Linked DNA regions of Neurospora crassa OR74A. The protein of the gene in region 4 purifies or fractionates together with the protein of the main gene of each other region. This does not show direct contact. Links are inferred from orthologs where the notes say so. Each region holds a gene or a part of one and is shown on either strand. Other genes may lie near its edges. The genes, in order: NCU02810, NCU05270, NCU04640 and un-10.

The links.
Region 1: the proteins of un-10 (region 4) and NCU02810 purify together in Saccharomyces cerevisiae (affinity purification with mass spectrometry; 3 studies listed by BioGRID, with this or other methods). This does not show direct contact. The link is inferred for Neurospora crassa OR74A from reciprocal best matches to the Saccharomyces cerevisiae genes PRT1 and GCD11.
Region 2: the proteins of un-10 (region 4) and NCU05270 purify together in Saccharomyces cerevisiae (affinity purification with mass spectrometry; 6 studies listed by BioGRID, with this or other methods). This does not show direct contact. The link is inferred for Neurospora crassa OR74A from reciprocal best matches to the Saccharomyces cerevisiae genes PRT1 and FUN12.
Region 3: the proteins of un-10 (region 4) and NCU04640 purify together in Saccharomyces cerevisiae (affinity purification with western blotting; 4 studies listed by BioGRID, with this or other methods). This does not show direct contact. The link is inferred for Neurospora crassa OR74A from reciprocal best matches to the Saccharomyces cerevisiae genes PRT1 and SUI3.

What each region holds. Positions count from the first base shown.
Region 1 is NC_026501.1:9,044,332-9,052,513, forward strand, and holds NCU02810 (eukaryotic translation initiation factor 2 gamma subunit), read left to right. Parts: upstream 1-3,333; 5' UTR 3,334-3,747; coding exon 3,748-4,265; intron 4,266-4,330; coding exon 4,331-5,317; intron 5,318-5,390; coding exon 5,391-5,421; 3' UTR 5,422-5,881; downstream 5,882-8,182. Other genes in the region: NCU02809 (hypothetical protein), read right to left, coding at 6,421-7,242, 7,301-8,109. UniProt on the Saccharomyces cerevisiae protein: As a subunit of eukaryotic initiation factor 2 eIF2, involved in the early steps of protein synthesis.
Region 2 is NC_026504.1:5,512,578-5,520,560, forward strand, and holds NCU05270 (mitochondrial translation initiation factor IF-2), read left to right. Parts: upstream 1-3,097; 5' UTR 3,098-3,385; coding exon 3,386-3,898; intron 3,899-3,993; coding exon 3,994-4,509; intron 4,510-4,583; coding exon 4,584-6,616; intron 6,617-6,700; coding exon 6,701-6,947; 3' UTR 6,948-7,353; downstream 7,354-7,983. Other genes in the region: NCU05271 (hypothetical protein), read left to right, coding at 1-23, 77-393, 477-2,233. UniProt on the Saccharomyces cerevisiae protein: Plays a role in translation initiation. Translational GTPase that catalyzes the joining of the 40S and 60S subunits to form the 80S initiation complex with the initiator methionine-tRNA in the P-site base paired to the start codon.
Region 3 is NC_026505.1:1,362,313-1,370,408, reverse strand, and holds NCU04640 (eukaryotic translation initiation factor 2 beta subunit), read left to right. Parts: upstream 1-3,651; 5' UTR 3,652-4,017; coding exon 4,018-4,029; exon of another isoform or gene 4,030-4,502; coding exon 4,503-4,644; intron 4,645-4,695; coding exon 4,696-5,346; intron 5,347-5,456; coding exon 5,457-5,523; intron 5,524-5,578; coding exon 5,579-5,678; 3' UTR 5,679-6,325; downstream 6,326-8,096. Other genes in the region: NCU04639 (non-classical export protein Nce102), read left to right, coding at 1,330-1,842; NCU16952 (hypothetical protein), read right to left, coding at 2,476-2,585, 2,686-2,926; NCU04641 (FAD dependent oxidoreductase), read left to right, coding at 6,789-8,096. UniProt on the Saccharomyces cerevisiae protein: Component of the eIF2 complex that functions in the early steps of protein synthesis by forming a ternary complex with GTP and initiator tRNA.
Region 4 is NC_026507.1:3,330,318-3,334,563, forward strand, and holds the start of un-10 (eukaryotic translation initiation factor 3), read right to left. Parts: upstream 2,801-4,246; 5' UTR 2,574-2,800; coding exon 2,302-2,573; intron 2,167-2,301; coding exon 624-2,166; intron 558-623; coding exon 129-557; 3' UTR 1-128. Other genes in the region: NCU02207 (T-complex protein 1 subunit beta), read left to right, coding at 3,827-3,829, 3,905-4,059, 4,140-4,246. UniProt on the Saccharomyces cerevisiae protein: RNA-binding component of the eukaryotic translation initiation factor 3 (eIF-3) complex, which is involved in protein synthesis of a specialized repertoire of mRNAs and, together with other initiation factors, stimulates binding of mRNA and methionyl-tRNAi to the 40S ribosome.

The DNA.
Region 1 (8,182 bases), on a different chromosome or scaffold from region 4:
AGGGGAATAACAACAGCCTGTTGACGGCATGGACGATCCCGCGGCGTCAACACCAACATGTAGATGGCCCTGCGTGTGCACACATGGCCAAGAAGACGGAAATGTGCTCAGATAACTCGAATAGCAATCGACTGCTCATGATGAGTCCTCCTTCTCTCCTCATGTCTTCTCGCCCCCAACACCAGAGCCCTTCATGCTCTCTCTTGTGTTCTGCCTTCCTGGTCACAGGAGAAAATATCACTGGTTCGGACAGGCAAGGTTGGGTAACACGAATCCATTGGCTGGGGGCGGCTGGCGGATGGGGGAGCACTTTTACCGGACTCGACCAGGAAGAGGCAGGCCAACGACATCGTCCAGATGTACCGCCAAGATCATCGACAGCGTGAAGCTCAGAGCAGCACTAGGAGACGGCGGCCCGTGGTTGGGCGGCAAGCGGTCGTCGTCGTCGTTGTCGTTGCTGAGGAAGTCTTGGAGGGCGGGCCTTTTTCACAAGAACCCCTGCCGTACATCTCCGCTGGTCCCCTGCCATCCAACTGCCTACCCTGGAGTGTTCCGAGTCCTCTAATTGGCTGTTTGTTTTGGCTTTTCACATGTGTAGCCAATCAGTTGGCACAATCCTGTGATAGAGCTGCCAACCATGCATTGCTGGGCGGCAAGCGGTACCACACAAACCTCCTCTACGCTCTCTTCTCCGCGACTAGCGACTCGCTCGCTCCACGCTGTTCACACTCCATTTTTTGCGCAAATCATGGTCCCCCAATCTAATATCGGGCGCTGACCCAGAAAGGGCCAAATTCACGATTCTGAGTGTGATGTTTGACCATGACTTCGCGGGAACGCGCGGGAATCACGCGCCGGGGACACAGTAATCTTTTATACTTGCCGACCAGCATCGTCAGTTGACCATGTTCATTAATGTGAAAGCCAAGGGCTGGTGAAGGCGGGGATTTCAGCAACCCGGCGGCTTCTTCAGACTTGTCAATGTCACACCATCACACGTGTGGTCTCTGCTTCCCGACTTTCCAGCTATTCTGTGTTCTTCACGCTTTTCTCTATTTGGGAGCGGGGTCCCTCTGGAACAGCGACGAACAACGACGTCGGTGTTCCGTAACACAGCGGACAACATGGCATGGTACCAAGACATGTACACCGCTAGGACGGATGCAGTGCTGCTGAGTGAGTGTAAGACGGACTATGCAACGAGCTTGATTCAGGAAAGACGATACAAGGCTGGTGGTGTTTGGGTGTATGTTCTGGACTCGCAAAGATCAATACCTTGAATATCAGAGCCGTGGTCACAAGTCCGCGACAGTGATGTCCTTGTTCTGGACTTGCATTTGACAGCCAATATGTTATCCAACTCGGACATCTCAGCTTACGAGTTTCCGCCCATAGATAGCTTGGCAACTTATATGCCGTCCTCAACTCTGACGAAAAATCGTATCTACACCTGGAAGCGAGGTTACCTTGTGCTGCACTTGTCAGCACACAGATATTGCCCGCCCTCCATCGGGTGTTCGTAAGCACAGAGTATCATGGAAGTGCCAGTATTTAGCACATCAACTTGGGGGTGTTGCCACCGGTTTAGTATTTTTAGCCCGCCGAGACGGAGGTTGTGTACTAAGGCTTCAGTACCACCGTTGTGATATCGCCATCAAAACCATAATGGACAGCCAGTTCTGCGTTATATTCCTACCCGCTCTCTCGGTCATCTCGGTGGCTCGGTGGCTCGGTGGCTCGGTGGAAGCACGCTGTTCGGCTGCTGCAAGTCATCGCCCATGGCACCATTGATGCGGTTCGATGACTTGACAAGAAAAATCCGAGCTCAGCAAGAATTCCCATTTTGGGGAGTGGTGCCGTAGGTAGTGCTGGCCACATCATGTCGTGAAACGATGATTACCAAGCTCATTGCAGAAGACAAATCCTCAGCAGTGCGCCTCTTAAGAAGAACTGACAAGGTATTAATAGGAGTGGCTCGGCCATGCCAGTTGTGAATTCATCGTTTGGTCCGTTTGCCCAGTCTCAGCCCGAATGAACTTGAATAGACACTCCCGTGCTATTTTTCTTGACCCCAACCCAGCGATGATCAAGCTCCCAGCATGGTTATGGACGTGACTGACGGCCATTCAGCGGTCAAGCGGATATGTCTCGTGTAACCGGCTGAGTCTTCTCCCCGCTCCAATAGTCATTGCTGTGAATCGGTTGTGGCTTGAATCCTACTAGACTGCTTCTCGAACCATCAGAGACGGTTGTACGCGCTGTTGAACAGGTCTTGGCCCCGGAATCTTCCCGATTCCGATCCAACAAGCATCTGGGTTGGATGTGAAACAAGGGCTTGGGCGTGTTTTGGGGGCCGGGAGAGAAGCGTGTTGGTGGCCGATGTAGTTTTGATGTATATCGAGCATATTCCCAGCAAAATACACTCAAAACATAACATGATCCTGTAACGCTTGCACAGCTGTTGCAGTTACTCCCTGCCTCAGTCCAAGATCACGGAGGACAACATTCGGGCCACTTGGCTCAACTCTTCACAGCGCTATTATCCCGAGACTGAGCCCTAGTTGAACCCTTATTATCCCAAGAGCGATGAGCCTCACCTTTCGTGAAGATATCGAATAACTTGACGGGAAAGGGTCGAATCCAGGAGAAGACACCTCGTGTCCTACCTTTTCGCTCCACAGTCAGGCATTGGCAGCAGGTACGACTTTGATGACGCCCTTAACCAAGCTTCATAGAGTTGAGACTGTGGCCATGACCAGCATCGTGGGTGCTCCTCAGAGTTGACGACGACAAGCAGACTCGGCGTTGTTGATGATGGATCAGCTTATCGACCCGGAAACGTTTGTATGTACGTCGAAGGATGCCGGTGTCAATGGGAGAGGCCGTTGCAGAGTAACGATTGTTCTCAAAGAAAGAAACCGGATTCAACTCGCCGATCGATACAATGTACCCGTTCTCAACGTTCAGTTGATATAATTCTCAGCGTTGAGTTACCGTGTACGCTGTGAGTAAGTTTCTGCCGACACAGACGGGACAGAGGGTTGGATAAAAGTGTAGATGGCGAACTCTTGATAGGAGAGAGGTTCCAAAAGTCACCTCAATGATGTTGAAGCTGAACCGTGACTGAGCTCTGGACTTTAGCACTACACTTACTTGGTCCTTATCGCGCTCTTATCGGCCCTTGTGGGGCAGGCGACGGTCGGGCTAAACCGAAAACCGTGCTTAGTGGGGCAGCGGCAAAGGCGGGAAGGGTTGGGCGCACGCAGGGCAGGTTCGCAGAGCGGAATGTGTGAGGCTCTCGCCTTGTTGGTCGCAGCTGGCAGCGGCAGCACAGGAAAATACCGACCTAGCACAAGCCAAATACAAGTCAAATATCGTCAGAGTCATCCACCAGGCAGGCAGTTTTTCTTCTCAGCCTTCCTCCAACCTTCGCTGTAACCCCACTATTTTGGCAGGTCCAGTTTTACTACCTCTACCGTCCACCAACAACGTCCGCTATCACAAATATCGCGAGTCCCGTTGCGGAGACAGTAGGACACCCACATACATACCCACACCAAGGAGCAGGGTCTAGAAAAGTACACAGCAACTACCAGGCATACACCACCCACTACACAGTACACAGCAAGAGGGGTTGCTTCACCGAAAGCGAAAAAATTACTGCCCCGCGACACATCCATCCATCGACTTGACGACCCAACCTAACTCACCTCCACACCTCACCTCCATCCACCCACATCCACAATCATGGCTACCAACGGCGACAAGTTTGGCAACGACATCGTCGAGTCCGACTCGGGCTCCGACAACGAGTCTCACGTCGACCAGCACGAGTCCGACAACGAGGTCGAGGCCAAGCCGCGCAAGTCGGCCCTCAAGAAGGCCCCCGCCCCCGTCGTCCAGAGACCTCCCCTTCCTCCCCAGACCGATCCCAAGGACCTCGACGTCAAGACCCTCAGCCCCCTCACCCCCGAGATCATTGCGCGACAGGCCACCATCAACATCGGCACCATCGGCCACGTCGCCCACGGCAAGTCGACAGTAGTAAAAGCCATCTCGGGCGTCCAGACGGTCCGTTTCAAGAACGAGCTCATCCGCAACATCACAATCAAGCTCGGTTACGCCAACGCAAAGATCTACAAGTGCGACAACCCAGCATGCCCTCGCCCGACATGCTACAGGAGTTACAAGTCCGAGAAGGAGGTTGATCCCCCTTGCGAGCGCGAGGGTTGCGAGGGCACCTACCGTCTGTTGCGCCATGTCTCGTAAGTTGTTTAACATAACATCATTTGCGCCAATGAATGACTGACCATGTGTCTCCTCCTCCCAGCTTCGTCGACTGCCCTGGTCACGATATTCTCATGAGCACTATGCTTTCAGGTGCCGCCGTCATGGACGCCGCTCTCCTCCTGATTGCCGGAAACGAATCCTGCCCTCAGCCCCAGACCTCCGAACATTTGGCCGCCATCGAGATCATGAAGCTCGACAAGATCATCATCCTCCAGAACAAGGTCGATCTCATGCGCGAGGAGGCCGCCAAGCAGCACTACGAGTCCATCCTCAAGTTCATCCGTGGTACCGTTGCCGGAAAGTCGCCCATCATCCCCATCTCGGCCCAGCTCAAGTTCAACATTGACGCCATCAACGATGCCATCGTCAACACCATCCCCGTTCCTCCCAGGGATTTCTCCATGGACCCCCAGATGATTGTCATTCGTTCCTTCGACGTCAACAAGCCCGGTGCCGAGATCGACGAGCTCAAGGGTGGTGTTGCCGGTGGTTCCATTCTCCACGGTGTCCTCAAGCTCGGCGACGAGATTGAGATCCGTCCCGGTATCGTCACCCGTGACGAGAAGGGCGACCTCAAGTGCACTCCCATCTTCAGCAGGATTGTCTCCCTCAACTCCGAGGCCAACGACCTCAAGTACGCCGTGCCCGGTGGTCTCATTGGTGTTGGTACCCGCATCGATCCTACCCTTTGCCGTGCCGATCGTCTGGTCGGTTTCGTCCTCGGTCTCAAGGGCCGCCTCCCCGAAATCTACTCCGAGATCGAAGTTAACTTCTACCTCCTCCGCCGCCTTCTCGGTGTCCGCACCGCCGACGGCAAGCAGGCCAAGGTCGACAAGCTTGCCAAGAACGAAGTCATCATGGTCAACATTGGTTCCACCTCCACCGGTGCCAAGGTCTCCGCCATTAAGAAGGATGCCGCCAAGCTCATCCTCACCTCCCCTGCCTGCACGAGCATCGGCGAGAAGGTTGCCCTTTCCAGACGTATCGAGAAGCACTGGCGTCTTATCGGTTGGGCTACCATTGCTGCGTAAGTTTTTTTCTTTTCTATTTCTTTACCCCATAACTTATCACCACTGAATAACCACTAACAAAAAAAACAGCGGTGTCACCCTCGAGCCTTCTACCTCTTAAGCGAGCGACCAGAAAATATCCAAAGTTTATACATCGCTTGATTAGGAGGAAAATTAAAAGGTTGTTAATTTTTGGTTGCTCTAATGATGAATATCCAAAAAGTCGTTGGAGGATGATCAAAGAATGGAAACTTGGGCGCGGACACGGAAGGAAACGGCGTAGCGTGGGGAAACCGGGACCTGTGTTTCTAAAAACTAGCCTTGTGAAATTTGTACATGGTCTTATTTTTATCCAACTTGGGGCCGAGGACAGTAGAAAGACTGGTCATACGATTCGTTGAAGAAGATGAGCGAGGAATGTTGTGAAAAGAGGAACTCGTGAAGAGAAGCGCATTATCGGACCATTAGGAGTTTTTGTACAAAAAGTTATGTTTGGTACCGACGTACTTTGGGTTTACCAAGTAGTGGTAGAGGTAGAGAAGATGCCATTACGTTGATTTTGTCAAGGTCCGACGTACTTGGATTGAGTTTATTAGCCAGTGGTGATGATAAGAGTAAACTTGAAAGAGTGAAGTAGAGAAGATAAATACATTGATTCCGCCATGAGTCTTCGACGTAATGACCATCTTACCATTATACTAGGCTATGGTAATGGCTCGGATAGATGGAAAGAGTCCAAGAATATACCTAACAATACTCTTCATGGGACACAGTCGAGTATGTATCCGTACGTAACTCTATTCATTTTTCTCTTTCTAGACCTGATAGTCTATCATACCTATCACAATTCCCTCCCCCTTTTGAAACTGAACCACACCCGAAAAAAACCTTCTTGTCCTTCGCTAATTACAACACCTGATATTATAACAAGTCTCAGTCTATCAAAGTAATCACCTCCTGTACATCGAATAGAAGAATAGAATATAATCATCATCCTTTTCCTTTCCCCCCTCCATTCCCTGATCCCCAACCAAACCAACCACCCACACTCTCACATATATATATACCCAATCACACCCACCTCCCCCACCCCGACTTATGTACTCACGTACTTACTTACTTACTTCCTAACCTTCCTTGCATGCTTCACCAGATTCTCAATCACCCCTTCAAACGCCTCCCGATCACCAATCTTCTCATCCGTCCTCTGCTGCCAATACACCAACACCTCGGACGCCACCCCTTGCATCGCCTCCAATTTTTGAACATGCTCTTTGAGTTCCTTGTCCGTCATCCCCGAAAGCGCCTCATCCGTCGTCTCGCACAGCTGCTTGGCAGCCACTAGGTCGAATACCGGTTCGGGCGGTGGTCCCTTCCTAGCGGAACTGGAAGAGCGGTTGGCGCTTCCTTCTGTGTTTGATCCTGCGGCGGCGGCGACGGTTTTGTTGACGGGTGGTTGCTTGGATGGGTTGCGGCTTGAATTCGAAGTCGAAGTAGTGGTAAGGTTTTGGCTGTTTTGGTTGTTGCGGAAGGCAGCGGCGGCAGAGCTAGCGCGTCGCGAACGACCTGTGCGTTCGTCGTCTGCTGCGTCGGGGTCGCCTAACGAAGGCAAGACGAGTTTCTTTTGTTTGGAAGCGGGGAGGATCTCGTCTAGGTCGACGGGGACGCCGAGGGAGACGAGGAAGAGACGACGGATGCGGGAGCGGATCCAGTCGGGGGGTTGGAGTGGGGGAGGGGCGACGAGCTGTGACCAGAGGGAGGCGGAGCGGGGGTGTTGGAAGATGGGGTCGGTGATGCCGTTGGAGACATTGAGGGTGGGGATGGGGGAGGAGGAGGAGTCGTCGCCGTCGGTGTCGGGGGAGGGAGGGAAGAGAGCGTTGAGGTAAGGGGAAGTGAGGGAGAGGATCTCGGACGCGGAAAGGTGGGTGAAGTCGGGTATTTGCTAGGGGATATGTTAGTGTGTGTTGGACGTAGAGGGAGTAACTGGGTTGGGGACTTACGAAGGATAATGAGGACTGCGGTTGTTGTGGTTGCGGCTGAGGAGCAGGTGCTGGAGCTGAGAACCCTTCGGCTTCTTGGAAGTCATCGTCGTCAAAGCCGGCATCGTCAAAGTCGCCAAAGTCAGCATCGTTGTTGGCCTCGGCTCCCTCCTCAAAGTCGTCAAAGTCATCCCCAAAGTCATCGGCGCCAGCCGGAGCTGGCTCAGCAAAGTCGTCCCCAAAGTCGTCATCACCAAACCCGTCATCGTCGGGGGCTTTATCCCCTGCTTCAGCAAATCCGTCGTCGTCGTCGTTGTCGAACCCATCTTTTTCAACAGGCTTCTCCTCTTTCTGGTCAAAGCTGACATCGTCCTTCTTGTCCTCTTCTGGCTCGACCTTCTTCTCGTTCTCTTGACTGGGTTCTGCCTCGTCGAAGTGGTCCTCTGTGTCTTCTTCCTTTGTATCTTGCGTCTCAAGCTCTTCGCTGGCATCCTCGAACTCGTCTCCTTTCAATGCTTCTTCGGTGTCGCGGTCTTTTGACTGTTCCTCCTCGTGCTTCTCGTCCTCCACCTCTCCATCTTGAGCCTGCTCAGTCTTGACCTCTACATTCTCCTCCTCCTTCTTGGATTCATCTTCATCGGCGTCTTCGTCGTCGGCGGTCTTGGCGTTGTCTCGTACGACATTGTCGTGCGCGTCATCTTTTGCCTCCTCCTTTTCTAGAAGACTGGGCCCCAATGAGGGCGAGTCAGGGGATGGCTGGTCTAGATCAGATGACGAGTCTCTAGAATGGATCGAGGCGGGACTCTTTAATGCAGGTGGTATTGGTGTATCTACGCAGGAAAACGTAAAGTCAATACAAAGGAGATCTTGTATAATTTGCTGGCTCAAAAAAAAACAAACAAA
Region 2 (7,983 bases), on a different chromosome or scaffold from region 4:
GCCCAGTCGCATGCAGACGAGTGGTACGAAGCTCCCAAGCCCACGGGTATGAGTTATGCTAAAAAAAATCTTACAGGACCCGATTGTCTTTTGACAAGCTTCTGCCAGATCAGTCGCAGGTATCAGTGTCGGACGCTTGCGTTACGGATGACTGGATCACAGTCTCAACGCATGTTGGGCCACAGTTCAGAATTTACAGTTTCAAGTTCTATGATACAGCAGTTGTTTCTCAAATCCAGTTCGACGTACCTGGGGACGTGACCTCGCTACATCACAGCCAAAACCTTGGGATCATTGTCGGTCTTTGGAAGGACGGACGTCCATATTTGCTCATCCGTTCCCCAACAACTGAAACAGCCACACAAGATATCGAGGAGATTGATATTACAGAACGTAAGGTTGACCCAGCACACCTGGGCCAGCACAATCCCATGCTGCCTCCTGCTTTGGTTTCCATTATACTGATGTGTTCATAGGACTTGTGACATCGGCTGGATTTACCGGATATCGAGATGACGTGCCTCTCAAAGCAATCGGGAGCATCGCTTCTGTCAATAACGCAATACTTCTAGGAACCAGAGGCGGAGAGCTCATTCACATTTCGAAGGAGTGGAAGGGTACTACAATGGCCTACTACCAACAACTCGGACTGACCGCGGTGAATGTGACTGCGGCCCGGCATTCTCTGACCGCGAGACCGAGAGTGCTGGTCTCCTGCGATCAAGCCTTGATTGAAGTACGACTCGATGAGCATGGACCGAATGGCTCTGTCCATGACTTGGCAAAATATCGTGTCATGCCTGTCAACGCGGGCGATCTTGGTGCTCCTCTACCACTTGTAGAGTACGGCGTGGCAATCGATATTCCATGCGCAAGTGAAGGATTTACCCCTATCCTCATGTTGGCGGGGTCGAGCGCAATCATTGCCGAGCTACACCAGGAGCCTGGTCCAGCTCATCGATATATCACGATTGGAAAGACACCAGTCAAGACGTTCTTCTCACCCAACCTACGTTGCCTGGTGGTTGGTGTTAATGAGGAGGGAAACAAGTCGACGCTGATGTTCATGGATCCTGACACAGGAAAGGACATCGGAAGACCGAGCCACAAAGCAGGAACTCCTGTTCAGTATATTGTGGGGCTGGGTAAACCTGACGACCGAATCCATGGTCTGGCCGAGTGGGAGTACAAGAAGAACAACGGGACGTGGCGCTATCTCCTTGTTGGTACCAAACAAGGCCAGCTCATTATTGTGTCGACGGAAAAGGAGCCATCGAACGGGGACCACCCACCTTCGATAAAATACTGGACGCGATTTAAGAAAAACTGCGATGGACCGGTCTACTCAGTAATAGGACATGAGGAGAGCGTGATCTATTGTGTCGACCAGATAGTCCACTGGGATGTGCTGGACCCTGTCGAGAAAAAGCTGAAGCCACGCAAATTATGTGACTTGGGCTCGTTGGCTCTGGAGCTTCACATCTCCGGGACTAAGATTCTTGCCCTGACGTGGGACGGTTCACTCCAGATGATCGACCCGGCGCTTGACGACGTCATTGAGAACTCTGCAACACTCGAGTTCCACGATCCTCGCAATGTTGTACCAACGTCGTCGATGCAAATTGGAAGCAATGTATTCCTGGTGGCAGATAAAGACCGTGGCGTGGGCGGTCTTTGGCAATGGTCCAGAACACCAGGAACCCATAACTGGGCTGAGTTCAGGGTGCTCTTCGAGGGGACGCTTCCTGTCAGTATCAGGAAGTTCCGGCGCGGCAGGACACGGCCAACGTGGGAGCAAGGAGCCTGGAACGCACCCAAGTACGGCCGGCTCATTAGCACACCGAACGATGCCGAGATGTTGGGAATAGCCATGGACGGCACCATGTATCACTTTACGCTGCTTGATCAGCACGCATTGCGTCTGTTGCGATTCATTGTCAACTTGTATAACCTCAGGGGGAAGAGAGACGAGGAAAGGCTGCTGCACGCGGAGCCGAACCTGGGTCCCACTGAGCCGTCGCATGTGGATGGTGATGTGCTGAAGACACTCTTGGATGCGGAAGTCTTGCAAGAGCTGATCAACACGGAGGAGCTGTTGGCGCGGTTCAAGAGCCTGTTGGATAAGTTGGATGGAGGCAAACATACTGCTGAGTGGATGGGCGAGGGCACTGCGGACCAGTATTTTGAACTGGCGTATAACGTGTTGATGTATTATCTTAGGCAAGTTTACTAAGTGCTTGGAATTCTAAGGCGGGGGGGGGGGGGGGGGGGAAGGGCAAGATACACTGGTAATAAACGGACGTGTGATCCAGTGTCGGCCTACAAGCCGTCCTGATGAATGCCTTGGTGGTGTAGCTACAGCATAATAGAAAAGCGAATAAAGAATATCACTAGCAACATCTGGTTAATGAAATACCCATTATGACAAGGTGAGGGAGTTGGCCTGCCCCCTTGGATGGAATATCGCACAAAATACACCAAAGTGGTAGAAAGTAAATACAGAAATTAGCCCAGCAAGTGCCCCACTTGTGCCTTAACAAGCAGGTGCCCCGCATTCTGCACCAACGAGTCGGTCACTGTACTTGTACGCGGGAGTGCAGGAGCTTCCACTTCTTTTTCACCACTGCACTGTACTGTACTGTATTTGTCTTGACTGCTGTCTCCAACAGTCTGTGCAGTGTCAAGTCAAGGGCTTGGTCAAAGCGACACCTCCTGGCTCCGGCACAAGTAAAAAAAAAAGTTTGGAGTGGCGATCCTTGTCTGGATTTTTCTGCTGAATCGAGACTCCTTTGACTTTGCGACTTCGACTACTTGGGATTGAGTTAGAGAACGGGACATGATTGCCGTTTTTTGACCGTAGACGGAGACAATACCAAACACTTTATACGGGTTGAAAGAAAGCGCATAGGCAGACGGTGTAAGTACAGGTACTGAGATAGGTACGTACCTGACCTCTATATAGTGTAGCAACAAACCAGAGCGGGATTCGATACAAAGAACAACGAAAGAAAAAAAAAAGATCCACGGTGCCAAGTACCTACAGTACCATCGATCCACTCTGCAGCACCACCACCGAAAAGTGATACAAGTGACAAGCCCTATCCCGTCGACAAGGGGGGACCTACAGCACCAAAAAAAGTACGCCGCCTGCCTTCTTTAGCAGCCAGCCATATCGCATATAACGGCCCAGTAGCCCCAGTCGGCCGCCCCACGAACCCACCACCAGAACCACCTAGCGAGCAACGAGGTCTTCACCCGGACTTCGACTTTCGTCACAAGGAGAGAAGGAGAGCCCATCAGGATCCTCTCCCCCGCCCATCCTACCGACGACATCCCCGCCTCAAGGTATTCCCCGGTCGACTACCAACAGTCCAGTTAGCCCAACATGGCGCCCAAGAAGAAGGGAAACAAGAAGGCCAACGATGACTGGGAGGCCGAGCTGGGCGAGTCCATCGCCCCCGTCAACAACAACGGCGCCGATGCTGCTGCCGCCTCTCCCGCTGCCGCCGACGACGAGGCCGCTTCCGGTGGTGGCGGTCTGATGGAGAGAATGCGCAAGGCCAAGGAGAAGCGCAAGAAGAAGGGTCTTGCCGACGACTGGGAGGCTGAGCTGGGCGAAGACGCTCCCGGCGCCGAGAAGCCCGCTGCCGCCGAGCCCGTCCCCGATCTGTCGGCCAAGGTCGCCGAGGAGGCCAACCTCGACGACGAGTTCGCTCTCCCCGAGAAGAAGGGCAAGGGTGGCAAGGGCAAGCAGCAGCAGCAGCAACAGAAGGCTGCTCCCGCCGCCGCCGCCAAGAAGGACGAGGATGCTGCCGATGAGGATGGCCCTAGGGTGTTGACCAAGGCCGAGAAGGAGAAGCTCAAGAAGGAGCGTGAGAAGCAGCGCAAGAAGGAGCAGGTGAGTACCCAGTCATTATCACTATTACCCACTAATGACTATACATACATCAGACACAAACGGAAGACTAACAACAACTTCTTTTCACTAAACAGGCTGCTGCTAAGAAGAAGGGCACCACACCCGCCGCCGCCGCCAAGGCCGAGCCCGCAAAGGAGGAGAAGAAGGCCGAAACCCCCAGCCCCGTCTCGACCCCCGCTTCCACTCCCGCCCCCGAAGCCGCCGCCGGTGGCAAGAAGAAGAAGCTCCCCGCCCACCTGCTCGCCCTCCAGAAGCAGCAGGAGGAGCTGCGCCGTCGCCAAGAGGAGGAGGCTAGGCTCCTCGCCGAGGAGAAGGCCAGGATAGAGGAGGAGGAGCGCGCCGCTGCCGAGGAGGCCAAGCGCAAGGAGGAGGAGCGCGCCCGCAAGAAGGAGAAGGAGAAGCAGAGGATCGAGCAGCTCAAGAAGGAGGGCAAGTTCATGACCAAGGCCCAGAAGGAGGAGAAGGCCCGCAACGAGAGGAAGCTGCAGCAGATGTTGGCGGCCGGTATCAAGGTCAACGCGCTCGAGGGTGAAGAGTCCAAGAAGAAGCCTGTCTACGACGACAAGAAGAAGAGGGCTGCTAACAAGAAGGTGAGTCTGTCCGGGATTCTTGCTACAATTACGGTATACTATGGACGGCGCTAACCAGTGTCTACTTGCTACAGAAGGACGAGGAAAAGGCTCTCGCCGAGGCCGCTGAGCGCGCAAGACTCGCCGCTGAGGCTCTGGTCAAGGAGCAAGAGGAGAAGGCCCGCATCGAGCGCGAGAAGGCCGAGAAGGAGGCTGCTGCCAAGGCTGAGGCCGCCAAGGCCGCCGCTGAGGACAGCGTCGACGAGGACTGGGAGGCCGCTGTTGCCTCTGACAAGGAGGATGTCAAGGACAGCTGGGACGCCGACTCCGACGAGGAGGAGGAGACCAAGAAGGAAGAGACCAAGAAGGAGGCTTCTAAGCCCGCCGCGGCCAACGGCAAGACTCAGGCCAAGAAGGAGGAGTCCGAGTCCGAGTCCGAGTCTGAGGAGGAATCTGAAGAGGAATCTTCTGAAGACGAGGAGGCTACCGCCAGGGAACTGGAGGAGGCCCGGAGGAAGAAGGAGGCTGCCGAGCGCCGCGAGAAGGCTCACCAGGCCGCTCTGGCTGCCAGGTCTGCGGACAACCTCCGCTCGCCTATTTGCTGTATTCTTGGTCACGTCGATACTGGTAAGACGAAGCTGCTCGACAAGATTCGTCAGACCAACGTCCAGGAGGGTGAAGCCGGTGGTATCACTCAGCAGATTGGTGCCACTTACTTCCCCGTTGAGGCCATCAAGCAGAAGACGCACGTCGTCAACAGGGACGGCAAGTTCGAGTTCAAGGTTCCCGGTCTTCTTATCATCGATACCCCCGGTCACGAGTCTTTCTCCAACTTGCGTTCGCGTGGTTCTTCGCTCTGCAACATCGCCATCTTGGTTGTCGATATCATGCACGGTCTCGAACCCCAGACTCTCGAGTCCATGAGACTGCTCCGTGAGAGGAAGACGCCCTTCATCGTCGCTCTCAACAAGATCGATCGTCTTTACGGCTGGAAGAAGATCGAGAACAACGGCTTCCAGGAGTCGTTGGCCCTCCAGAACAAGGCTGTCCAGAACGAGTTCAAGAACCGTCTCGAGCAGACCAAGCTCGCCTTCGCCGAGCAGGGTTTCAACTCGGAGCTCTTCTACCAGAACAAGTCCATGGCCAAATACGTCTCCTTGGTCCCCACCTCTGCCCACACCGGCGAGGGTATCCCCGACATGTTGAAGCTCATTGTCCAGCTTACCCAGGAGCGCATGGTTGGCTCTCTCATGTACCTCTCCGAGGTCCAGGCTACCGTTCTCGAAGTCAAGGCCATCGAGGGTTTCGGTATGACCATCGATGTCATTCTCACCAACGGTATCCTCAGGGAAGGTGACCGCATTATCCTATGTGGTACAGAAGGCGTCATCAAAACCAATATCAGAGCCCTGCTCACGCCCGCGCCGCTCAGGGAACTGCGCCTCAAGTCGCAGTACGTTCACAATAAGGAAGTCAAGGCCGCTTTGGGTGTCAAGATCTCTGCCCCCGGCCTCGAGGGTGCCATTGCCGGTTCCCGTCTGCTTGTCGTCGGCCCCGACGACGACGAGGACGATCTCGAGGACGAGGTCGAGGCTGATCTCGCCTCGCTCTTCAGCCGTGTCGAAAAGTCCGGCCGCGGTGTCTCCGTCCAGGCCTCCACCCTTGGTTCGCTCGAGGCCTTGCTCGACTTCCTCAAGGAGTGCAAGATCCCCGTCGCCAACGTCGGTATCGGTCCCGTCTACAAGCGTGATGTCATGCAGTGCGGTATCATGTTGGAGAAGGCTCCCGATTATGCCGTCATGCTCTGCTTCGATGTTAAGGTCGACAAGGAAGCGCAGGAGTATGCCGATCAGCAGGGCGTCAAGATCTTCACTGCCGACATCATCTACCACTTGTTCGACTCGTTCACCAAGCACATGGATGAGCTGCTCGAGAAAAAGAAGGAGGAGTCCAAGCTCCTCGCTGTCTTCCCTTGCGTGCTCGCTCCCGTTGCCGTCTTCAACAAGTCTGGTCCCATTGTTATCGGTGTCGATGTCGTGGAGGGTCAGTTGAAGATCAACACGCCCATTTCCGCCGTCAAGACGAACCCCGTTACTGGCGCTAGGGAGGTCATCGATCTCGGTAGAGTGTATGTTCCTCCTTTTTTTTTTCCCTTTCACCCCATGATCCTCCTCTCCATGACATGATCACTAACTGATTCATGCAAATGTAGTACCTCCATCGAGCGCGACCACAAGCAGATCCCCGTCTGCAAAAAGGGTCAACCTTCCGTCGCCATCAAGATTGAAATGGGCGGCAACCAGCCCACGTACGGCCGTCATCTAGAGGAGAAGGACATGCTCTACTCCAAGATCTCGCGTGCCTCGATCAACTGCCTCAAGGAGTTTTACCGCAAAGACGTGACCAACGACGAGTGGCAGCTGATTATCAAGTTGAAGCCCATGTTTGACATTGCTTAAACCAACAACCACTATCTAAGTGGTAGGTAGGTAAGTAGGTCAGAGGTGGGAAGGTGGAGACCGTTGGGGGAAGCAGAAGATGGGGATTTTATTATCATCATGGTCATGGTCAAAAGGCATACATGGACATGAGCATGGACATGGACATGGATAAAAATGAGAATGGAGAATGAATGATGCCACATGGATGGTGGAGGGGGAGGTATTGGTGGGGGAGGCATAGGAATATAGGCAAGGCAGGGAATGGAAACACAAAATTACTGCATTGCTGGTTGATGGATCGATGGATGATGGTCTTGGGAAATTATAGTATGTCTTGTCTGTATGTACGTTTATGAAGGTTTGTTTTCTTAGTTGCACTAGTAGGTATCATAAAAGGATGTTTGATTTGATGGGTTAGTAGTTACTTGTACTGGTCCTGTTCGTTCCCATTCGTCGTCATCGTAGTCGTCGTAGTCGTCGTCGTCGTCGTCGTCGTCGTCGTTGTCGTCGTTGGTGATGCATGTCGTGATAAAACCAACCGGTTCGACGATAAGAGAGGTAGGTACACATGTAGTGAAAGTCCAGTCAGCCAGCCCACACTCTAATAAAATGGGAGAACTGAAGTTAGTAAGTATGTAGGTCAGGCAAGCAATGGTGGTGATCTCTCTCTCTCTTGAAAAGCGAGCGACAAGCCAGAAGTTTTTTAGTTTTTTTTTTTAGTTTCAAGTCAATTTTTTTCACAATTTGTTTATCATTCATATCGGTCTTCCATCATCCTCCCCCCTTTCCGATTCGATTCAACAACGAACGCCCTTATATATATATATTTTTTTATCATAACGGACGGACGGATGGTGTGAAATCTTAACGCGGCGGCATAGGTGGCATGGAATTGCATGAATCCATGAATCCATGAATCCATACTTAGGGTACCTATCCCATCTTTTGCTTTCTTGCTTACGTACTTGCGTGCTTGCTTTCTTGTTAGCTATCCAGCTATCCACTTGTTTACTCATTCTAGTGAAGGAAAGGGGAACAAAGTTATTATGAATGA
Region 3 (8,096 bases), on a different chromosome or scaffold from region 4:
CATCAACGACGACATCGAAGTCCTGAAACGTGGTAGCGCGGTTACGAGCAAGCAAAGCAGCCACACGTGGTGAGCTGAAGTGTACGTACACCTATAGTACTCAGTACAATGTATCGGGCCAACGGGCGTGGGCAGTGTCCGGATTCCGGATTCCGATACGATACGCGGATGGCTCGGGGTGGCGTGGACGTTCCTGTACCACTTCCTTGAACAACGGGTCACTATTCTAACTGGCTGGTACATAATACTAGCAGCGTTTTTGGTTATACTTGGAAGGAGAGATGGCGGAGGAGGCTGCTTTTTTCTCTGGAAGTAGTGTATCTTTGGGGTTGGGGTGGCACTGCAGCAGCTGTTGAAAAGGTTGTAGTGTGTAGCGAGTGTAGGGTCACTCAAAACGAGGTTGAGTTGAGTGTGAGAGTAAAAACAGAATGTTGATTTGGTTCTTCGGCTGGGATCGATGCCTCTATGATGATATTCTGGAGGACGATAGAGGGAGGACGGCAATGATGGACGAAACTAACAAAGAGAACATCTTATGGAGGGGTCAATCCCGATCATCAAACTAACTGAAAACGGACCAATCAGTTCCCCAACAAGCCGTGGTCAAAGGGTTCAGTTTATAAGGGTTCAAGACAGAAATCGGAAGAAGGGACCCCAAGCTCGCACATCATGCCCCTCTGTCTAGGTGATATCGTCATCGGCCGGGGTCGCCCCACCCTGGCGATGATGCTTCGCATTGCTTGGCGCTCTTTTCCCCCATGTCATTCCCATGACAATTGCCGTCCCTCGAGTGCCCCTCCATCGATCGGCTCGCTCTTGGTCGCAGTGACATTCGATGTCTAGACGCTTTCTCTGACGGATAGTATGATGGGATGTACAATGTCGTGCGTCAGTTGGTGGGCAGAGAAACAGGTGCTTTGTGTACAAAGTACAATGATCAAAGTGAATGGCACGGCTAAGTACTCCCTCACTGCTATGTAATACTACTACCAACACTTGCCCGATAAAACCGGTCGACCACCCAACAACTTCTTTCCTGACTATTCTTCAACTTGTGCAATCCTCTTCGCGACTTGTGTATCCAAAAGGGTGTTAAGAGACATCTTCCACTGTTCGTGTACATTACAGCATTCGAGACACTTCACCGGGCCATCAACCTCCAACTTATACAAGCAACTTATCGCAAACGCCACGACTGTTCTGCTGCTGCTCGGACACATTACTTGTGATATCTGAGCTCCCCCAACCTTTCCTTCCTCTCCAACACCTGTAAACAATAACAATAAACAAACACCCATCAAGCACACACCAACAAAACCAACCGCCAAAATGGAAGTGATACCCCTCATCCTCCGCTTCATCCAGCTCATCTTCCTCATCATCCTCACCGGCCTCATTGGCAACGTCATCGCCCTCGATGTCGACGCCTCCACCACCGCCCGCGCCGCCATCAACTTCACCATGTTCGTCATCGCGCTCTCGTGGGTGGTCGCTCTCTTCGGCCTAGTCGCCGCCATTTTCCAGAGCGTCGCCATTCCGCTCGTCATGCTCATTTTCGACGCCGCCGCCACGCTCTTCACCGTCGTCGCCGGCATCGTGCTGGCGGCCAAGTTGGGTACTCCGAACTGTGGAAATCTTGCGAATGATCATTATGGACATAAGTGGATCGCGTACGGGAGTGCCGATGATGCGAAGAGGTGCAGGGAGATTCAGGCGGGAACGGTGTTCATGTGGTTGCTTCTTGCGGCGTTCTCGGCGGCGTTGACGTTGGCGATTATGAGCTGGAGGAGGACGGGCGGAAGCGTGAGGAGCGGGCCGACCATGTCACAGGTGGTCGTCTAAGGCGGTCGGGGAGATGGAGTGGTGGTGGTGGTTGGAAACCTTGAGAAAGTGCTCGGGAAGAGTGTTGAAGAAAGCTGGAGAGCCTGGATAGTTTTGGTGGTATGCTTGGATGATGGTATGAGTAGGGCTATGGCAGCAAGGATGAGTTATGGTGATGGATAGCTATTCGCTTCATCATGGGTGTGCGGTGTCGCAACCCTCGACAATTATACCCAGATCAGTGTAATTACGTAGTGATGGCTTGGGTTAATATGGCGAACGAGGAAAGGAAGATCAGAACCTGCATGTTATAATAGTATCAGTCGAACCTAAAGTCAGCAATAGTAATGGGTATAATTGGCATTGTCTGATGATCAGATGTATCTGCAGAGCTTCAACGCTTGCTTCCACAAGTATAACGACAGTCCACATGCATTCTACACATGTCTGTAATTCTTCACCACCAATGCAACGCAAACTGTGCAAGAACGAAACATACCCCTTTATGCTAGTGTTCCCATACCGTAACGCCAAAAGAGCACTGTGTCCACCCCTGGTATCCCAGATTATACCGAAAAAATAGGGTATCGAGAATTGTGCTGCCGTCGCCTTTGACTCGAGTACCTCATCACCACGGTCGCCTGTCTGCCTCCCTCATACTGATACTGGCGTAGCAGCTCCTATCCAACCGGCAATGTTGAATAGCGTCTTGTTATACCATTGGACCTTGACCCCGTGCGCCCACTCCATGTACCGTCCCCAACCTGCCGGGCCATGTTAGCAACTGACTTTCCGCATCGTCGTTATTGTCTCCTCCCACAGCGCAAGCTGTCTTTCCCAAGATCTGGTTTTGGTTTGTCTTACTCCAATAAGCAAACTTGCGCCCCAAAAACTTGCCCGCGAACGGTATTAGCACCAAGTTCAAGAGAAGCTGCAGCTGCTCGAGACTCTGTTCCCATTCCTTTTGTGCGTCTGATTCGTCGTCGTACTCGGAGTCGTCCGAGCCTAGGATACTGCTGGAGATGGACGGGAGGGAGTCGACATCGTCGTTGTCGGTTGACGGGGAGTGGTCGTGGAGGACGTAGGAATCGGAGGGGGTGGACATGGTTTTGGATGTCCCGAATGCGCAATTTGTCTGTCTGAGGGTATCGCGTCTCTGGCCGGGAGTAGGTAGCTATCGTCAGTGTGGTTTGGATGAGGCGAGCAAGTGGTCGGCGCCGGCGCACGGTCGGTTGTCGCGGTGAAGATGGTACTGTAAGTAGCTATCGTAGCTCGGGCAAATTGCGATAGTTCGGGATGGAGACACTGTACGAATCGGCGTAACGCCTGACGTGTAGGATATTGTAGAAATCGCGTGGGACGAACTTGATTGCTGCTGGGAGATTCGTTGTCGGTTACGAACACAGCGATACACGGAGATGGATACCTCTACGGACTCGGCGCGCCTTCCAAGGTTCGTGATGGAGCTGGTTGTTGTCGGTGACCGATGACGGGCCACGGCACCAACTGCTGCAGCAGTGCAGCTATGCGATGCTGGAATGGACACCACTCACCTATCGCTGCCGCCAAGCACTGCACCGGACTGCAAGTGCCAGTGCCAACCCAACCGTGTCGGACTGTGCGGCCGTGGCTCGAGCGGGTTGAAGGCACCGTGCTGCAGGGAGGAGGGCTGCATGGCCTGGAAAATGGAGAAGCGGAGGCGATTTGTAGTTGCAAGTGGCGGGCAGCTGTCTGAGCTCTTCCCACCCCACTTGTCAGGTGATTGAGAAGACTGACTCACAGTTTCGCTTCAATCAACGTCATGAGGTGAACACAGCTGAGGCGTGGTGCCGGTGCCCCATCCAGAGCCGTGTGTACAGAAAGAACTCCGCTCAGTCTCCAGCCCAACGACAGAACTAAACGACAGTAGTAGTAGGTAACCAGACCAGGACCCAAGCGGCATCCAACTACCTAGGTCCCCGCAAAGAACAATTCCAGGTCCGAAACTGAAAGAAAGCTGAGATCAGTCTGCCTGCATCGATACCTCTCCCGACCCCAAAGTCTACCTAATCTCATCCATCGACAAAATCCACTCTCTGCGACCAACAAAGAGTCCACCGGAAGAGACATCGATTACAAAGAAAAAGACGGACAATCACACACCTACAGACAGACAGACAGACACCACCACACTCTCAAACACACCAGTGGCCCAGCATGGATTCTGAAGTAAGTACCTGGGATGGATCTCCTTGCTTCAGTACACACTCACTACCTCTACGCCCACACAACACACCCTCCGTCCTCCCCGACCCTACCACCACGCTAGAGGCAGACACCTCGAGCCCTGGGGGGAGCCACGCTTCTCGCCTAGTCAAAAATACTAAGGAAATAAAAAGTCCCATTCACCACACTGCACACCCCTCACTGTACTTTGCTACCTACGCAGTGCAATTATACCTATCCCCGGCCCCAGCCCTCAAGTCCCCTGACGTGTACTGCCCCTCCAAGGCGCCAACCCTCTCCCTCCACCCCCAGCCCAAAATCCACCATAAAGTTCTGGCACTCTGCAGCGCGAAAACGCCGCCAATCATCCCAAAAAATTCCGAGCTTTCCTATCCACACTCGACGGCGAAATCCTTGACCGCTATCGCGACTCCCACGACAAGCGCCTTATCCACTCCGATATACTAACCCTTTAGGCGCCCTCTATCAAAAGACGCCCCTCGCGCAAGTCTGTCACCTTTACCGACGAGAAGCTAGTTGTCAACCCCGACGGTTCTGTCACCATGGACGCCTCTCCCGCCGACGAAATCAAGGAGACTGCCCAGTCCCACTCTGCTCGTACGCCGCCCCTCCACGCCGCTCTCGGGGCCTTTACTGATGCCCCCCAAGCCACCGAGCCCCAGGATGCTGCTGCTGCTGCCGCCCCCGCCGCCGATGATGGCCTCGACCTTTCGCTCATGAAGAAGAAGAAGAAGAAGGTCAAGAAGGAGGACGATGCCGACGCCGCTGCTGATGAGGCCGCCCCTGCCGAGGGTGACGGTGCTATCGACCTCACCATGAAGAAAAAGAAGAAGAAGAAGGTCGTCAAGGAGGATGATGAGTTCGCCAAGAAGCTGGAGGCTCTCAACATTGAGGGCAAGGAGGGCGAGGAGGCCGCCCCCCAGGAGGACGAGCAGGAGGGCGATATGGACCAGGGCACCGGCATTTGGGCCCACGACGAGACCAAGCCCATCAGCTACAACGCTCTTCTGTCCCGTTTCTTCGCCCTTCTCTCGCAAAAGAACCCCGACCACGCCTCTACCGGTACACGGTCGTACAAGATCCCGCCCCCGCAGTGTCTCCGTGAAGGCAACAAGAAGACCATCTTCGCCAACCTGCCCGAGATTTGCAAGCGCATGAAGAGAGCCGACGAGCACGTTACTTCTTACCTTTTCGCCGAATTGGGTACCAGCGGTTCCGTCGACGGCAGCAGGCGTCTGGTCATCAAGGGTCGTTTCCAGCAGAAGCAGATCGAGAACGTTCTGCGTACCTACATTATCGGTATGTCTATTTGATCCTGTCGTCGTTTGGACGTTTTGCGCCCAAGTAGACAATGTCACCACCAGCACCCAACGTTTTGCTCTGACTACAAATGCTAACATGCTCAACAGAGTACGTTACCTGCAAGACGTGCCGTTCCCCCAACACCGAGCTCTCCAAGGGCGAGAACCGTCTTTAGTAAGTTGGCCTCTGTTTACGACGACCATAGCCCCAAAATGCTGACATGTCACAGTTTCATTACCTGCAACTCTTGCGGTTCTAGGCGGTCTGTCCAGGCCATTAAGACCGGTTTCTCTGCCCAGGTCGGCAAGAGAAAGAAGATGCAGGGTTAAGCGGTTTTTGTTTTCTTGTTTCGAGGCCCTTGCAGTTTGCTTTTCAATGTTTTCACGCTTCAAGGACGGAGTTAAGACGGCATTGTATATGGCTGGTTGGGCACGGGTCTTTTACGAAGTAGCACGGCCCCTCTGAACGGCAATCTCTCATCTCCAGTACACGAGAGAGAGGATGGAAGAGAGAGTCTGTGCTACAAAATCAGGTGAATTCCTTACGCGGTAGGGTACGGGTTAATATGACGATACTTGATGAAGAATTGGTACACAAAAAGTTCTGGTTTTTGATGATGGTGGCACACTTATCCTTACTTTGCATAGGGAGTCTGATAAAGAGGAGGGCTTTCTTCTTTTCCTGAGCTTGTCTGATTTATATGGATGAGGGCTGCGAGGTTGTATCTAGACTGATGTGGGATTCAGAGGTTCTCAGGTCATTCATGACCATGGTCAGCAAGCTAGACTGGGAGAGCAAGGAAGAGGCTGACTGAGCGCAGGATTACGAAGCGATGGATTTTGAGATCTTGCGAACAGGAATTATTCTCTGTTCTTTGCAGTATGTATAGCCATTCAGTCTACCTTTATAAACTACATTATGTTATCGAAACTCAAAGTGGCAGTTGAGTAAAATGATAAACCTTGATACTCCGCGATTGGTGAGAAAAAGCGGCCGCTTAGGTTCGAAATCTCACCTTGACGCGTATACATTGCGTATACACTACGTTCCGATGTTTTGGCGATCGATCCATGATATGCCGAGCACATGCATGATAGTTAGCTTCGGGAGAATCTTTCCCCTCCACATTTTGCATCAACAAACCCATATAAGACGATGGGCCGCAGGCAACAACTCAACGGTTCAACCTCGTCTGTCTGTTCGATAGATTAGTCAACACTTTCCAAGTCAACGCGTAACGTGACTCATCACTACTTTACCTGCTCGATTCCACTCATCACTCAAGTCTTCCCCTTCATCATCACAACCACCAGGTACAAGCCAAAATGACCATCCGCTAAACCGGCCCCAGAGGAGTCGACCAGCACATCCCCCACCCTTCTTCTCACCACCACAGCGACCTCGGCCGAGCCGCCCAACCGACCCAACAGGAAACGAACATGAACACAACCAGCAGCAGCAACATCAACCCTGGTCCCTCCTCTTCAGGCCAGGCCGGACTCCCCTCCGCCAATCCCAGCGCCTCCTACTGGCTGCAACCAAGCGATATTTCTCAGAGGCTTGATGATTATCGGTCCACGCATGATTTGCCGCAGTCGGCTGATACGGTGATTGTCGGGTCGGGGATTACGGGTGCGTTTGCGGCTTGGTTCCTGTTGGAGCAGACGAGGGGAACGAAGGTTGTTGTTGTTAGGTCTGGATCTGGGTCTGGGGCTGGAGCTGGCGCTGGAGCTGGGAAAGAAAAAGAAGGAAACAGCAGCAGCAGCAGCAGCGAAAGAGACATCCTAATGCTCGAAGCGCGCCGGCAACCCTGCTCCGGCGCCACCGGCCGCAACGGCGGACACTGCCAGCCTTTTGTCTACTCGGCTTCCACCCCGTCCATTGCCGAATTCGAGCTGGCCACTTATCAGTTTCTCAAGACTTTTGTGGAGGAGCAGGGAATTGCGGGCGCTGTGGATTGGAGAACGCACAAGACTGTTCATGCGTACTTGACGGAGGAGGTGTGGGAGGGGGCGAAAGCGTTGGTGGAAAAGTTGCCGGAGGGATTAAGGGGCCAGGTGGATTTGGTTGATGATGAGACCAGAAAGGTGAAAGAGGGAGGAGAGACGACGCTGAGGGATTTGAGAGTTCCCGGGGCGAAGGGGGCGGTGGTGCAGAAGCATGCGGCGAGTTTGTGGCCTTGGAAGTTGGTGGTTTGCGTGTTGGAGAGGTTGATGGAGAGGTTTCCGGTTAGGAATGGTGGTACGGGCGAAGGAGGGTTCAACTTGCAGACGAACACACCGGTCTTGGGATTGGAAAAAGTCGGCGATGGCAGGTGGACGGTGATAACGAGCAGGGGAAGCATCAAGGCGAACAGAGTGCTGTTGGCGATGAACGGGTATACGAGTTATTTGTTGCCGGAGATGAAGGACTTGATCGTTCCGGTGAGGAGCCAAGTTGCGTCGTTGCGGCCACCCACGCAGGATGCGACCAGTGGCAAAGTGGCCGAGTTGGATTACAGTTATGCGTTTGTCAGCGAGGAACAGTTTCCGAGGGATGAGTATCTCATGCAGAGACCTCTGCCCGGAGGAGAGCTAATCTACGGAGGAGCGAGAAGTCATGCGGAGAACAAGGCGGTTGGAGTGTGGCAGGATGATGAAGTCGAGCGAGGCGTCGCGACCTATCTGAGGCAAAACCTGGCACCATATCCGTTGGATCTGACTCTAGACAAAACTGGCTCTACGCCTACGGATATCCCTAAGGAGGGA
Region 4 (4,246 bases):
AGATATGAAAGAACCCAGTTCATTTTATTCACTGTACCCTCAGATGACCTTTTCGAAAAACGGGGAAAAAACGGTACGCCATGTAACTTCACAACATATCAAACTACTGCCGCCGCCTATTCGCACATTTACTGAACGATCTCCTCGGTCTCCTCCAACACCTCCTCCATGATCTCCTCGATGACCTGCTCCTCCTGGTCGGTGGCGAGCTCGGGGGTCTTGGCCTTGATGAGGTCGGCAACGGGATCCGCCGGAAGGCCGTAGATCTCGCGCTCCTCGGCAACCTCCTGCCTGATGGCCTCGCGCCAAGCGAACCACTCCTCGAGGAGGCGGCGGCGGGCCTCGACAACGGCAACGTCGGCGCTGCTGATGCGCTCGGCGTCTTCCTGCTCGAAGATCCTCGAGTACTCGCGGAGGTTGCGGCGGATGGCCTTCTGCTCCTCCTTGCTAAGGAGGGTAGCGGGGCGCGGCCTCCACTGGAACTGCTTGAACTTCTCGATAGCCTCCTCGCGCAGCTGCTCACCCTTGAAGTCATACAGATGATATCCGTTCTCCATCTGTTTTTGTTTCACGTTAGCGATTTCTGCTGCACGTCATCTTGATTTAATACCAATGATACTTACAGAGTGCTTCCACGCGGAAGCCCAGGTGGCAACGAAGCGACCCGAGGGGTCCCACTCAACGTCGGTGACACCGTAGTGGTCAGCGGTGTTCATAAGCTGAAGGTTGGCGGTAAGGTCCTTGTCGGACTCGGGCTTCTCGCCCTCAAAGTCGAGGTCGTAAAAGTCGAGATCAGAGCTCTGAGTGTTGGCAACAGTGGCAACGACCACAAAGCGTCCCTTAGGCGACCAGTAGATGGCATTGCTGTTCTTCTTCTCGAGAGTGCGGAGGTGCTTGAAGTTTCCAACAGCATTGCCCTTGGCCTTCTCAGGGCAGAAGAAAGCGACCGACGTCTTGGGGGGAACCGCGGTGGCACCGACAGGCTCGGTGGTGGTGATGATAACGAACCTGTCGCCCTTGGGCTCCCAGGCAAAGTTTATTACGGTATCCTTGATGGTGTCGACAACTTCCACAGGGACTCCCTTCTCCTTGACACGGAAAATCTCAAGAGTGGTAGCCTGAGACTTTTTGGACTTGGAGTGACGGTCAACCTTGACGCACAGATAAGCACCCTCGGACTGCCAGTGGAGCTTGGCATCCGAGACGCTGAAGAGGTTCAGTGACCTGACAACTTGCTTGGAGGGGATGCTCATCAAGCCGACTCTGGCGGGGTTGCTGCCAATCTCAGGGGTCCAGAAGCAGAAAAGTTGCTCGTAGGACTTGACACCGTCGCGCTGCACGGTGGCGGGAGCCCAGTCAAAGTCCACAACGCCCTCGATCTTGATGGCGGTCTTGTCCAACAAGTTCATCCTCGGAAGCTCGTAGACGGAAATAGACTGGCCGGGGTTCAGCCTGGCGACGTACTTGTCATCGGCAGACCACTTGAAGGCGGGCCAGGGGAACTTGGGGGCCTTCTTGGGAGCCTCGCCCTCGGCGGCGGCGGGGGTGTCGAGCTGGGCGAAAGAACGAAGGGGCTTGGAGGTCTCGATATCCCAGATAACGTAGTTCTTGCCGTCGTCTTCTACAGAAAGAGCGGGGTGACCCTCCTCAGGAATCGAAATCGGCCTGTTGGACCAGGTGACAAGGTACTTTTCGTTGGGAGAGAAGGCGACAAGGTTGACAAAAGGATGGGCAAAACGCCTTTGCCTGGTCCACGAGGGACCACCCCAAAGCTGAACACCCTGGGCGTGGACGGAGGTAAGGTAGGTACCGAGGGGCGACCACTGCACAAAGGTCTCGGTCCAGTGTTGGCGGTCAACAATATTCTCGGGCGTATCCTTCTCGTTGTTCCAGAAGACACCAACGGACTCTCCCCTGAACATGACAAACTGATCTCTGCCGCGGCCGCTGGGGTCGGCCATGAAGGAGCGGAGGTGCTCCTTCTCCTGGAACTCCTCGATCTTGGGAGGAGTGTACTCGTCATCGATACGGCCCTCGCGACCATAGCGGTCGACATCGGTAAGCTTGTTGACGCGGAGGGTGTGCTTCTTGTCGAGGGGGACGAGGTCGAGCTGTCTGCAGGCGGCAGCGGCCTCGGCGGGCGACGAGTACTCGACAAAGGCGAACCTACAGAATTCATATCAGTGGCCTGGTCGGGGAGCCAACATGCACAGCATAGGGACACATCGCGGTTCGGGCGCGGCGATGGATGGCCGGTCTGTAGATGCGCATCATTTTGAAGGCGGCGGCTGTGTTGCATACCTCAGCGACTTTCCATCCTCGCCCATGGGCATGAAGATGAGGTCCTCCCGGGTCTTGCCAACCGTGTTGAGCTTCTTCAACAGGAACTTGACGAGCTTGGGTTTTTGCTCCTCGTTGACCTCGGGGAGGCCGTCGACAACGACAAAGGCATCGTAGCCCTGCTCAAGCTGAACCTCGTACTTCTCGCGGATATCGGAAATGTCGACCTCATCAACATCGAAGTCATCCTCGTCGAGGTCCTCGTCGCGGAGGTGGTCGAAAGAGGGCGCCATGCTGGGCAATTAATCGGCAGTCTGTTATGCTTGGTGGGTGCCGGGGATTAGTGGTAGCTGGCGATGTACGGGTCGGGAAGGCGCCTCTGGTGGTGGTGGTGGTGGTTGGACTTGGTGGATGACGGGATTCTGGGCTGGCCGCTTCGGATTTTTTCTGCGATGCCGCGGGCGGAACAACGTGCTGGCTTATGCGGTCGTCAGGATTATTGTGAGAATTTGTGCGCAGCGCGCAGATTGTGGTGGGGTTCAGTGAGAACGGCCAGAGAACCAGGGAAGACAGTGAAGGGAATGCCCCACTTTAGGAGGCAATAATGCACGTTGATTGGCTACCCTACCAGATCCCCTCTCTCTGGAATCGCCAAAATGGGAATTTATGTCAGTGAATGCAATGATGGGGTGGATAGTTTGGAGGTTAAAGAAGACGGAGCCTCAGATATCATGGATATTGCACAGTCGCAATGAACACTCAGCCTGGGAAAGTCAAGTTCTCGATGCTGTCTCTATTCTTCATCAACTACAACTTTTTCGGTTTCCTTTCTTTTTAACAAAATGATGGCGGCAGGCAGTGGGCTAAGCATTGTTCGTTTGTGCACGGAACCAATATTGACCATGGCAACGTCTGTCCGCTTTCAGCAGAGTTTACAGGTTTCAAGTTGCCATCACTTTGAAGTCAAGAAGTGGACTGAAGGTTGCGGTTCGTTCGTTGCACCGACTCAGGTTCCCTTTCCTCTTGGCTTTGAGCCTCGACGGTAGTCCCCTGGGCTCCTCGCTTCTCAAAGTGCTGGCTGCGCTGTCCACCACTATCCACCGCCGCCGCCGCCGCTGCCAGCCCAAAGCTCCCCTCCCCCCCCCTTTCTTCCTTCCCCACGGAAGACGTCCAAGTGGGGTCCCCTGCTGCCCACTCACCTCAAGTGGACATTTTGTCTGTCAAAGGAGGGGCAGACGGCCTGGCATGCGAGTGACAAGCATTTTATGCCACCTGTCGCAGGCGGTGAGGTAAAGGAGGAACAGGAAGCTCTGGAATTTTGCCGTGGCCTGCCGTCCAAAAAGTGCCTGGAATTCAGAAGAGCATCATCCGTCCCGCTGCTGGCAGATTGTTGTAGAAAGGAGGCTTCGCGTTCAGGGTATCCATAACGTCCACCCAAAATATAGTACTACCAAGCTTCAATTGCTTCTTCTTCTCTTCCAACCTCAACCCCCTGTGCACCCCGTATCCCCGACCTTTTGTCTAATACTTAAGCTTCTTCTACATCATGGCAAGTTGATTTGTACATCACTTTGGGCATCTTTCCGAGCTCACCGTAACTAACCAACCGCCTGACCATCTCCAGGCCTCGTTTAGCCCCACCCAGATCTTCGAGGAGGGCACCACAGAAGAGAAGGGAGAGAATGCCCGTCTCAGCGCCTTCGTCGGCGCCATTGCTGTTGGCGACCTCGTCAAGAGCACCCTTGGTCCCAAGGGCATGGACAAGATCCTCCAGTCTGCGTATGCTTGTTCACCAAACCCCCCGCCTACATGCTTGACACGCCGCCGTCATGTGCTGACCGCACCATCACAACATCCAGCTCGACCGGTGAGATTCTAGTAACAAACGACGGTGCTACTATCCTCAAGTCTATCGCTCTCGACAACGCCGCTGCCAAGGTCCTCGTAAACATCTCCAAGGTCCAGG